2 linked regions of the Mus musculus genome follow. The protein of the gene in region 2 binds, or shares a complex with, the protein of the main gene of each other region. Links are inferred from orthologs where the notes say so. Each region holds a gene or a part of one and is shown on either strand. Other genes may lie near its edges.

Evidence for each region.
Region 1: Gapdh (region 2) and Rpl13a share a complex: the UniProt entries of both Homo sapiens proteins name them as parts of the GAIT complex. The link is inferred for Mus musculus from reciprocal best matches to the Homo sapiens genes GAPDH and RPL13A.

What each region holds. Positions count from the first base shown.
Region 1 is NC_000073.6:45,125,692-45,130,237, forward strand, and holds the start of Rpl13a (60S ribosomal protein L13a), read right to left. Parts: upstream 3,055-4,546; 5' UTR 3,024-3,054; coding exon 3,009-3,023; intron 1,878-3,008; coding exon 1,805-1,877; intron 1,773-1,804; exon of another isoform or gene 1,692-1,772; intron 1,584-1,691; coding exon 1,518-1,583; intron 1,402-1,517; coding exon 1,300-1,401; exon of another isoform or gene 1,173-1,299; intron 1,104-1,172; coding exon 1,018-1,103; intron 978-1,017; exon of another isoform or gene 912-977; intron 847-911; coding exon 787-846; intron 745-786; exon of another isoform or gene 656-744; intron 547-655; coding exon 424-546; intron 342-423; coding exon 255-341; 3' UTR 1-254. UniProt on the Homo sapiens protein: Associated with ribosomes but is not required for canonical ribosome function and has extra-ribosomal functions.
Region 2 is NC_000072.6:125,162,891-125,167,284, reverse strand, and holds the start of Gapdh (glyceraldehyde-3-phosphate dehydrogenase), read left to right. Parts: upstream 1-1,511; 5' UTR 1,512-1,733; exon of another isoform or gene 1,734-1,973; coding exon of another isoform or gene 1,974-1,991; coding exon 1,992-2,014; intron 2,015-3,848; coding exon 3,849-4,146; intron 4,147-4,244; coding exon 4,245-4,394. UniProt on the Homo sapiens protein: Has both glyceraldehyde-3-phosphate dehydrogenase and nitrosylase activities, thereby playing a role in glycolysis and nuclear functions, respectively.

The sequences.
Region 1 (4,546 bases), on a different chromosome or scaffold from region 2:
CATAGCTGCAGAATAGGGTACTTGGTCAGGTGGGTGGGGCAGCCCTGCTACTCATTTTCAACACTGAAGCTCAACTGATTCATCCCATGGTTTGCACTTTAATAAAAACTCATGCAGGTGGTGCGCTGTCAGCTCTCTAATGTCCCCTCTACCCACAGGAGCAGTGCCTAAGGAACCTTTGGTCCCCACTTCCCTAGTTGGCGGCGGAGGAAGGGCAGGCCAGGCAGGCATGAGGCAAACAGTCTTTATTGGGTTCACACCAGGAGTCCGTTGGTCTTGAGGACCTCTGTGAACTTGCAGATTTTCTTCTCCACATTCTTTTCTGCCTGTTTCCGTAACCTCTGTGGTGTGAAAAGACACATGTCAGAGCGGTTGCTTCTCACCTGCGCCCCCCTAATCCTGGATCTCAGTGTCCGTCCTCACCAAGATCTGCTTCTTCTTCCGATAGTGCATCTTGGCCTTTTCCTTCCGTTTCTCCTCCAGAGTGGCTGTCACTGCCTGGTACTTCCACCCGACCTCATGCGCCAGACGCCCCAGGTAAGCAAACTGCAGAGGCACAAGGCTGTAAGGACATGGAATGTGCCCCAGCAGCACAAGGGTGAGCCGGAGGGCCTAGGGACCCTATTTCAAGGACTCATCCCCAGCACGGGAGCCCTCCTGGCATCAGCTTAGCCTTTGGCATTATCGGCACTGCCCTAACTGTGGCATCCGAAGACCATCGTGAGAATAAGAACATCATGTGCCAGTCTTGAGGCTCACAAGCCTAACCTGTAACCTAGAGCTTACCTTTCTGGTAGGCTTCAGCCGAACAACCTTGAGAGCAGCAGGGACCACCATCCGCTTTTTCTGTTGAGAGAAAGAGATGCTCAGAGACCTGTTGGGAACACCTAGCAAGAAGGCCAGCAGGGTAGGCGTCTCAGCCAGTGGGGTTTTCATGAGGCTCAAACAATGTAGGTAATAGCAGAACATCACAGACGCTGGACGCAGAGGCTGTAAGGCTAGGCTTGCAAGGCTCACCTTGTCATAGGGTGGAGGGATCCCATCCAACACCTTGAGGCGCTCCAGGGCAGCCTGGCCTCTCTTGGTCTTGTGGGGCAGCATGCCTGTGGGGGTAACAGCGGGCCTCATCAGAGGTGCTGAGAACCCCGTCTGACCCCAGGGCAAGGGCTAGAACAGCCTCAGATGGTAGTGCATGTAGAGTCATCTCATAGTCGAGCAACTCGAACATGAGTGGGAGATGTCTCATCACAAGCTGCCAGAGCCTACCCTGTCCTACATGTCACCACATCACCAACTCACCTCGCACAGTGCGCCAGAAAATGCGGCTGGGGGCTCGGAAGTGGTAGGGGCCTCGGGAGGGGTTGGTATTCATCCGCTTCCGGAGAAAGGCCAGATACTTTACTGTCAGGACAAAAGTATGTGAGGCACCCTTGGACCCAAGAGCAGAGCAGATAGCCTGCTTGTCCAGGAGCAAGGCAACAGCCCGCCTGAAGACCACTGCCCCAGCCCTAACTCACACTTGTTTCTGTAGAAGTTTCCAGAAATGTTGATGCCTTCACAGCGTACGACCACCACCTTCCGGCCTAGAGTTAACAGGGAGTTGGAGATTAGTCAGCAAAGCCTCTTGGAAGGCAGATCTCTTGCTCCAAAAGTATTTTTAGGCCAGGGGTCCCAAGAAAGCAGGGGCTGGCGAGTCTCAGAGCGGTGCATGGGTTGATCTCACAGTCGTGAGACTCAAACGAAAGATGGTGAGTGTTGCTCATCATGGACTCCCAGGCAAAGGTAAATGGTGAATGAAACTTACCCAGAAGTACCTGCTTGGCCACAATGGCCGCCAGGCGGCCAAGAAGATGGCCTCGGCCATCCAATACCAGAACCTGTGGAAACAAGAATGCTTAGGAAACAGTTTGGCTTCCCCTATTCCAGGTTAGCAACCCGTCAGGATGCCTACTACCCAGATGAAGCAAGTGTCCCAAAGGGCCACTATAGTACTAACAAAGCCTCAGCAGGCATAGGATTCCTATTGTGTATATAAGTTGATTTTTTAAAATGGAACTTCATTTAACCCTTCCAGGCCTCAAATCCCAGGATAGCTGGGATCCAGTGGCACACCGTTCACTCCAAAATTGACCAGACCTGCTTTCAGACTTTAGCCTGTTGTAACTTTTCATCGGATCCTCAGATGCTCAAGCAGAACCTTTCTTATATGCACTCAAAAGAACCCGATTTAGCTAAGCACACATCGTCCTGTGATTCTGAGCAGTGCAGACTGGATTACAAAGCTAAATCCCGTCTCAGGCATGGAGGCACATGTCTGCATCCCAACCCAAACTACAGAAGAAGCCCATTCCACAGCCACCCTGTTTATTGCTGTTACTGGAGGGTCTCCGGAACTTCCCAAGTTCTTTTTAAAGGGCAAAACTGTCCCAAACAGCACCATTTACTTCCTGAGCAGCAACCTGTCAAGGAATCTAAAGTCAGGAGGAAGGTACAGGCAATTCCTGACCAGCCTCAAAATGAAGAGGTTCCTGCTTCAGTCGGGTGAATAAGTAATATTTAAAGTCTGTCTTATCAATCTCCCCAATTCTGAAGAACACCGAAAACACCCTCAAAAGGCCTACAAGCCTTCAGATCAGATGTTACAGGAATCCGGTGCCCTAAAGTCATGCAAAGCAGGAGCCTGCGACAGTTTCTCCTTATCTTACATACATACACCAGGCATGAGAGATTGCAAGCTCCCCGCACCCCAACGCCTGAGATTACAACCTGTAAAAGTTGTTTCTGGTGTTGGAACCCCAGCCCCACTCCCGTCTTCCCCAGAAAACCCGCTGCATTTCCATCGCCCCATACCTAGGCAGCCGCGGCTTGTTACGCCCGTTACACAGTCCCCTCGCGTGAGACGTTTGCTAAGTCCCATCGCACAAGCGGCGGGGAGCAGTGGCCCCTCACTGCGCTCCCGCCTGGCACCCACCCGACCCCACACCGCCCGGCGCGCGCAGAGTCCGAACCTGCCCCTCCGCCATCTTCGGCAGCCGCCTGGGAAAGGAGGAGGTCTTGTCGCAGGGTTTCTTATCCCTTGCTGCAGGGGCGGAGGAAGTGACGCAGACGGCTCGAACCGAAGAGTTTCCGTCTTCTAATTGGTCGAAGCGGTGAGTGCGCGTCTATCGAGGCGGGCCATTTTTATTTTGTCCAATCAGAATGTCGCCTGAGTTGGCTCTTGGCGGCCATGACTGTGCGGGGCGGGATGTCACGTGGGTTTCGGAGCGGCTTCAGCCGTACAATGCCGGCCAAGCCGCAGCCGCCATATTTGAAGGGATCGCTCTTCTCCGTTCCGGTGTCTGCCATGTGCAGCGCCATTACTCCCATCAAGTGATGGCGGCTGCAGAACATGTGGTGTCCATGAGGGGGCGAGCATAGTCCCTGTCGGCCCTTCAGAGCTGCTCGTGCAGCGGTCCCTCCCCTCAACCCCACAGTGGGCTGACCATCGCTGGCTGTCCTGAACCTGGGAGTCTCGGGTGGAGGAAGCCTTCCAACGGGTGGAGGAAGCCTTCCTGGATGGAGGAGGATGGGGTGAATGAGGGGCTTTGAGGGTCCCGAGACGCAGACGCCCTCACTCGCTTCTATCCCCAAAGGCCTTTGTTTCCGTGACTGTTGTCCGCGCTGCCCTCCCGTCTGTGCGCCTCTAACCGCCCGCCTCCGAAGGGAAATAACTAACCAAAAGACTGTTGGCTATCAAAGACTCGTTTTGTCCTGAAAACCTCCCTAACCAGCCGAGCCTGAGTCGAGTCCTCCTGTAGGTGCCAGCACCGTTTGCTTGCTTGTTACACTTTGGGGCTATGGTTTTGGGGAATTGAGTTGCGTCTGCACATCAAATTCCCATGGGGCGTGCCCTGTGCTGACCCTGGGCTACTGGAGGCCTCGGAAAACAAATAGAATCTTTTGTCGTTGGTTTGGGTTTCTGACGTAAGATTTCTGCAATCCTGGCTGACCTTAAATTTAAGATCCTGCCTCAGCTTCTGGAAAGCCAACAAACCAAGATTTTGAAACCTAAAAGGTGCACCTATTCCCTGTCCTATCCACAGACAGACCCGGATGAGCTGGTTAAAAAAAAAAAAATTATATACAAGTACATGGGGGCAAGAATGGGGTGAGTGGGACTTTTGGTGAGTTGTGATGTCTCCATCCTCGGCAAAGAGCTGGCGGGGTCGGAGCAGTGAGGTCCAAAAGGGGGCTAGTCTCCACCCAAATGTCTGTGTGTCCAGGCTGTGTCTGTCGGGTGACTCCTGCTTCGCCTCAGTATCCTCTGTAAAAGGGGGTGATCAATGGTCCCTGAGGACTGGAGTTCTCACGTGACACTCTACCACTGATCTACGCCCCCAGCCCAGCCCCTCGCCGCTCCCCTCCCCCCCCTCTTAGGTTAGCTTCGGACTTCTATGTAACAGTAGATAACCCAGAATCCCTGATCTTTCTGCCTCTTCTCCAGAGTGCTAAGGAATACAGACAGATTTACACCGCAAACTTTGCTCCATGTCTTTTTTTTTGGAGG
Region 2 (4,394 bases):
AGGAAAAGGGTTAACGCTGTGCATAGAGCCTCGGTAGGAAGGCAGAAAAGGGACTCTGAATCTGCCATGCCTCTCCTCCCCACCACTGCGCTGGGGCCACTCCCACCCTTCCCACCCTGTTCATCTGGCCTGCTCCCCGCTCATGGGAAGCCTGGGCACGGGCCACACAGCTGTCAGTCTAACACAGCCTTGGCTCTGGGGCCCCAAGGAGGTAGGGCAATCTGGAAGGGCAAGGAGCCAAGACTAGATTTGGGGTGCAGCCCAGCGTGCTCCCTGCCTTTTAAGCAAAGGTTATCACCAGGCCAGCTAAACTTAGCAATAGGCTCTTGAGCTAGATGAGCAGGGGGCTGGTTTCATGTTGCACTGGCCTAGCAAAGAGGCGCCAGAGTCCCCCTGCCCTGCACCTGCTACAGTGCTCCCAAGCCCTTCCACCCTTCCCAGCCTCCCTACCCTTCGGAGTGAAGAATCCCGGTCTCGAAAAGACAAAATAAAACCAAAGAATGCCTTTTCTCCCTTCCACTTGTGGCAAGAGGCTAGGGGCTTCCCTGTCCTGGCTCAGGGGTATAATATTTCCTCTCCTGTGTTCTCCCCTCACTGATCTCACCCTGTGTCCACGAGGGCAGCCAAAAAAGGAGAGTCCCTGGCTCCAGGGCCAGTCAGCACGTCCCTGGATGGGGAGGGACTTCCGCCCTCACGTCCCAACTCTCCACCCTGGGGCTACAGTGGGTGAAAGGGGCAGTGTCTCCTAGCCTGGGCGGGGCAGCTCTCAGGTTCCGAGGAGGGATACTATAGGAGGCCTCTGAGCCTCCTCCAATTCAACCCTTAAGAGGGATGCTGCCCTTACCCCGGGGTCCCAGCTTAGGTTCATCAGGTAAACTCAGGAGAGTGTTTGTAAGTCTCAATTATCAGGTTTCCAGGCTGCAGGGCATCCTGACCTATGGCGTAGCAATCTCCTTTTCAAGCGTCTTCCTGGCCACCCCCTTGCCCTCACAGCGCGGTACACAAGCCAGGCCTCTGGCCAAAGACAGAAGCCAGGAGGGGGGGGGGGGCAGATAGGGAAATGGGGCTCCTGAGGGCTCCCGCGGGAGGAAAAGTGCCCCCACCCTGGCATTTTCTTCCACTCTTTTTTTTTTCGGGGGGGGGGGTTGCTGTGTCACTACCGAAGAACAACGAGGAGAAGATCCTCAACTTTTCCGCAGCCTTTTCAATAATGGGGAGAGGTTCGATGATGCAGTGGCAGGGAGACCCACACTTCTCCATTTCCCCTGTTCTCCCATTTTACTCGGGAAGCAGCATTCAGGTCTCTGGGTCCTGGATGTCCTTGGTGCACACTCCAAGGACTCCTCGTCCTTAAGTTCATAGTCTGTATTCCCTGAGTCCTATCCTGGGAACCATCACCCGGTCACCTCCTGAGCGGGGCAATCTCAGCTCCCCTCCCCCTATCAGTTCGGAGCCCACACGCTTGGTGCGTGCACATTTCAAAAATGAGGCGGGTCCAAAGAGAGGGAGGAGGGGAAATGAGAGAGGCCCAGCTACTCGCGGCTTTACGGGTGCACGTAGCTCAGGCCTCTGCGCCCTTGAGCTAGGACTGGATAAGCAGGGCGGGAGGCGGGGCGCGCGTCATCAGCTCCCCCCCACCATCCGGGTTCCTATAAATACGGACTGCAGCCCTCCCTGGTGCTCTCTGCTCCTCCCTGTTCCAGAGACGGCCGCATCTTCTTGTGCAGTGCCAGGTGAAAATCGCGGAGTGGGCCGCAGGAGGCCGGGGACAGTCGGAAACTGGGAAGGGGAGTGGGCACTGTACGGGTCTAGGGATGCTGGTGCGAAGTGTGCAAGCCGGACCCAGGCTCCGCATTGCAGGGGGGGGATGATGGAGGACGTGATGGGGCGCACGGCGGGAATGGAGGCGGGGTGGGGGAGGGGACTGCCTGGTGTCCTTCGGGCCACGCTAATCTCATTTTCTTCTCCTGCAGCCTCGTCCCGTAGACAAAATGGTGAAGGTCGGTGTGAACGGGTGAGTTCCAGGGCGGGGCCCTGCTCCGTTGCCTACGCAGGTCTTGCTGACCCGGGGGCTCTGCAGTACTGTGGGGAGGTGGATGAGGTGGCCGAAGCGCCCAAGGAGACCTCAAGGTCAGCGCTCGGACCTGGCGATGGCTCGCACTTGCGGCCCCCAGCTGCTGCACCTCTGGTAACTCCGCCTTTGCGGGGATGAGCGGCCCGGAGTCTTAAGTATTAGGAACAACCCCACGCGCCCGTTCAGACCCATCCCGTAATCCCCAGTCCGGGGCTTCTTTCTTTACTTTCGCGCCCTGAGGAGTCACGTGCCAGGAGGGAAGCCCCTCCCCCATCTCCCCCTTCCTCGGGGTCGGTGGCATGGCGTTGTGAGGTGCATACCTTTGCGCATCATCTCCCAGGCTTGGGCTTCCTTTAGGGTAACTGGCCGCCGCCATGTTGCAAACGGGAAGGAAATGAATGAACCGCCGTTATGAAATCTTGCTTAGGCCTTCCTTCTTCCTAGCTTGTGACTAACCTCATTCCTCTCGGCTGGGTGGAGTGTCCTTTATCCTGTAGGCCAGGTGATGCAAGGCTTCCGTGCTCTCGAGAGAGTTCTACCTCACAATCTGTCTCACCTTATTAGCCTTAAAAGCCCTTGAGCCTTATTGTCCTCGGGCATAATGCGTATTCTAGATTATTCTCTGAAAATCAAAGCGGACTTACAGAGGTCCGCTTGACCTCCCAACCCCAGAGGTAGTTATGGCGTAGTGCAGAGCCGTGGGATGGGGAGCTGAGTCATGGTGGTTCTGAAAAGAAATTTTCCACCACAAAATGGCTCCTGTAGTAGCAGCCCCTTCCATCCCCTGCACTTCCCATCACAGCCTCGCACTGACCCAGGCCCTATAGGCCAGGATGTAAAGGTCATTAAGAGGATTGGGTGTCCCTGCGCCTCAGAATCCTGCCCTTCTCCCCGTTCCATCCTCCAGAAACCAGATCTCTCCACTCCGCCCTGATCTGAGGTTAAATTTAGCCGTGTGACCTTTCTGGATCTGGGGTCTGAGCGGGCTCTCCACCCTGCTCCCCCTACACACATCTGTTGCTCCGGCTCTCATTTTTGCCCGAGAAGAACAGGTGTTTCGCGAACGAGCCCTGGGATTAGGGTTGGAAACCCCCCACATGTTTTCTCAGTCTTTCCCCTTAGTTCGAGGGACTTGGAGGACACAGGTGGGCCCGCCCTGTGCTGCTCACGCTGACCTTTAGCCTTGCCCTTTGAGCTTGCTGATGAATGAGTTCACAGGTCTGCCCTGTCCAGGGGGTGTAGCCTGAAGTCCAGCCATGCTGGAACAAACTTCCCAGGGCATGAGTGATGGGGGTGATGTGCCAAGCTTGTACCCAGACTGGGGCAAACTGCCACTTCTTAAGAGACTTAGAATGACTTGGAGGAGGTTTGCTGGGCAAGCAATCACCTCTTGGACAGGAAAGAAACCTCCACTTTATAACCGTGCTATAAAAGCCCTGCCAGGCCTCGGCTGCTCAAAGAATATAAAATTAGATCTCTTTGGACTTTCTAGGGTGGGAACAGTCTATATTTGGGTTGTACATCCAAGCATTCAACTAGCTTTATTAAAGGGAATTCTGAACAAAACATGAACTTCCTGATGCATACATTTCTAATGTACTGTGTCTGCATAAAGGCTTGTACCTTTGTTGTGGTACGTGCATAGCTGATGGCTGCAGGTTCTCCACACCTATGGTGCAACAGTATTCCACTCTGAAGAACATGAGATAGCCTGGGGCTCACTACAGACCCATGAGGAGTTCTGATCTCAGCTCCCCTGTTTCTTGTCTTTCAGATTTGGCCGTATTGGGCGCCTGGTCACCAGGGCTGCCATTTGCAGTGGCAAAGTGGAGATTGTTGCCATCAACGACCCCTTCATTGACCTCAACTACATGGTCTACATGTTCCAGTATGACTCCACTCACGGCAAATTCAACGGCACAGTCAAGGCCGAGAATGGGAAGCTTGTCATCAACGGGAAGCCCATCACCATCTTCCAGGAGCGAGACCCCACTAACATCAAATGGGGTGAGGCCGGTGCTGAGTATGTCGTGGAGTCTACTGGTGTCTTCACCACCATGGAGAAGGCCGGGGTAAGTGGCCGGAAAGCTGAAGGTGACGGGCACCCTTGATATGGTGCAACCTGAAAACCAAGAACTGAGTCTGAAATCAACTTCTTTCCCTTAAACAGGCCCACTTGAAGGGTGGAGCCAAAAGGGTCATCATCTCCGCCCCTTCTGCCGATGCCCCCATGTTTGTGATGGGTGTGAACCACGAGAAATATGACAACTCACTCAAGATTGTCAGCAATGCATCCTGCACCACCAACTGCTTAGCCCCC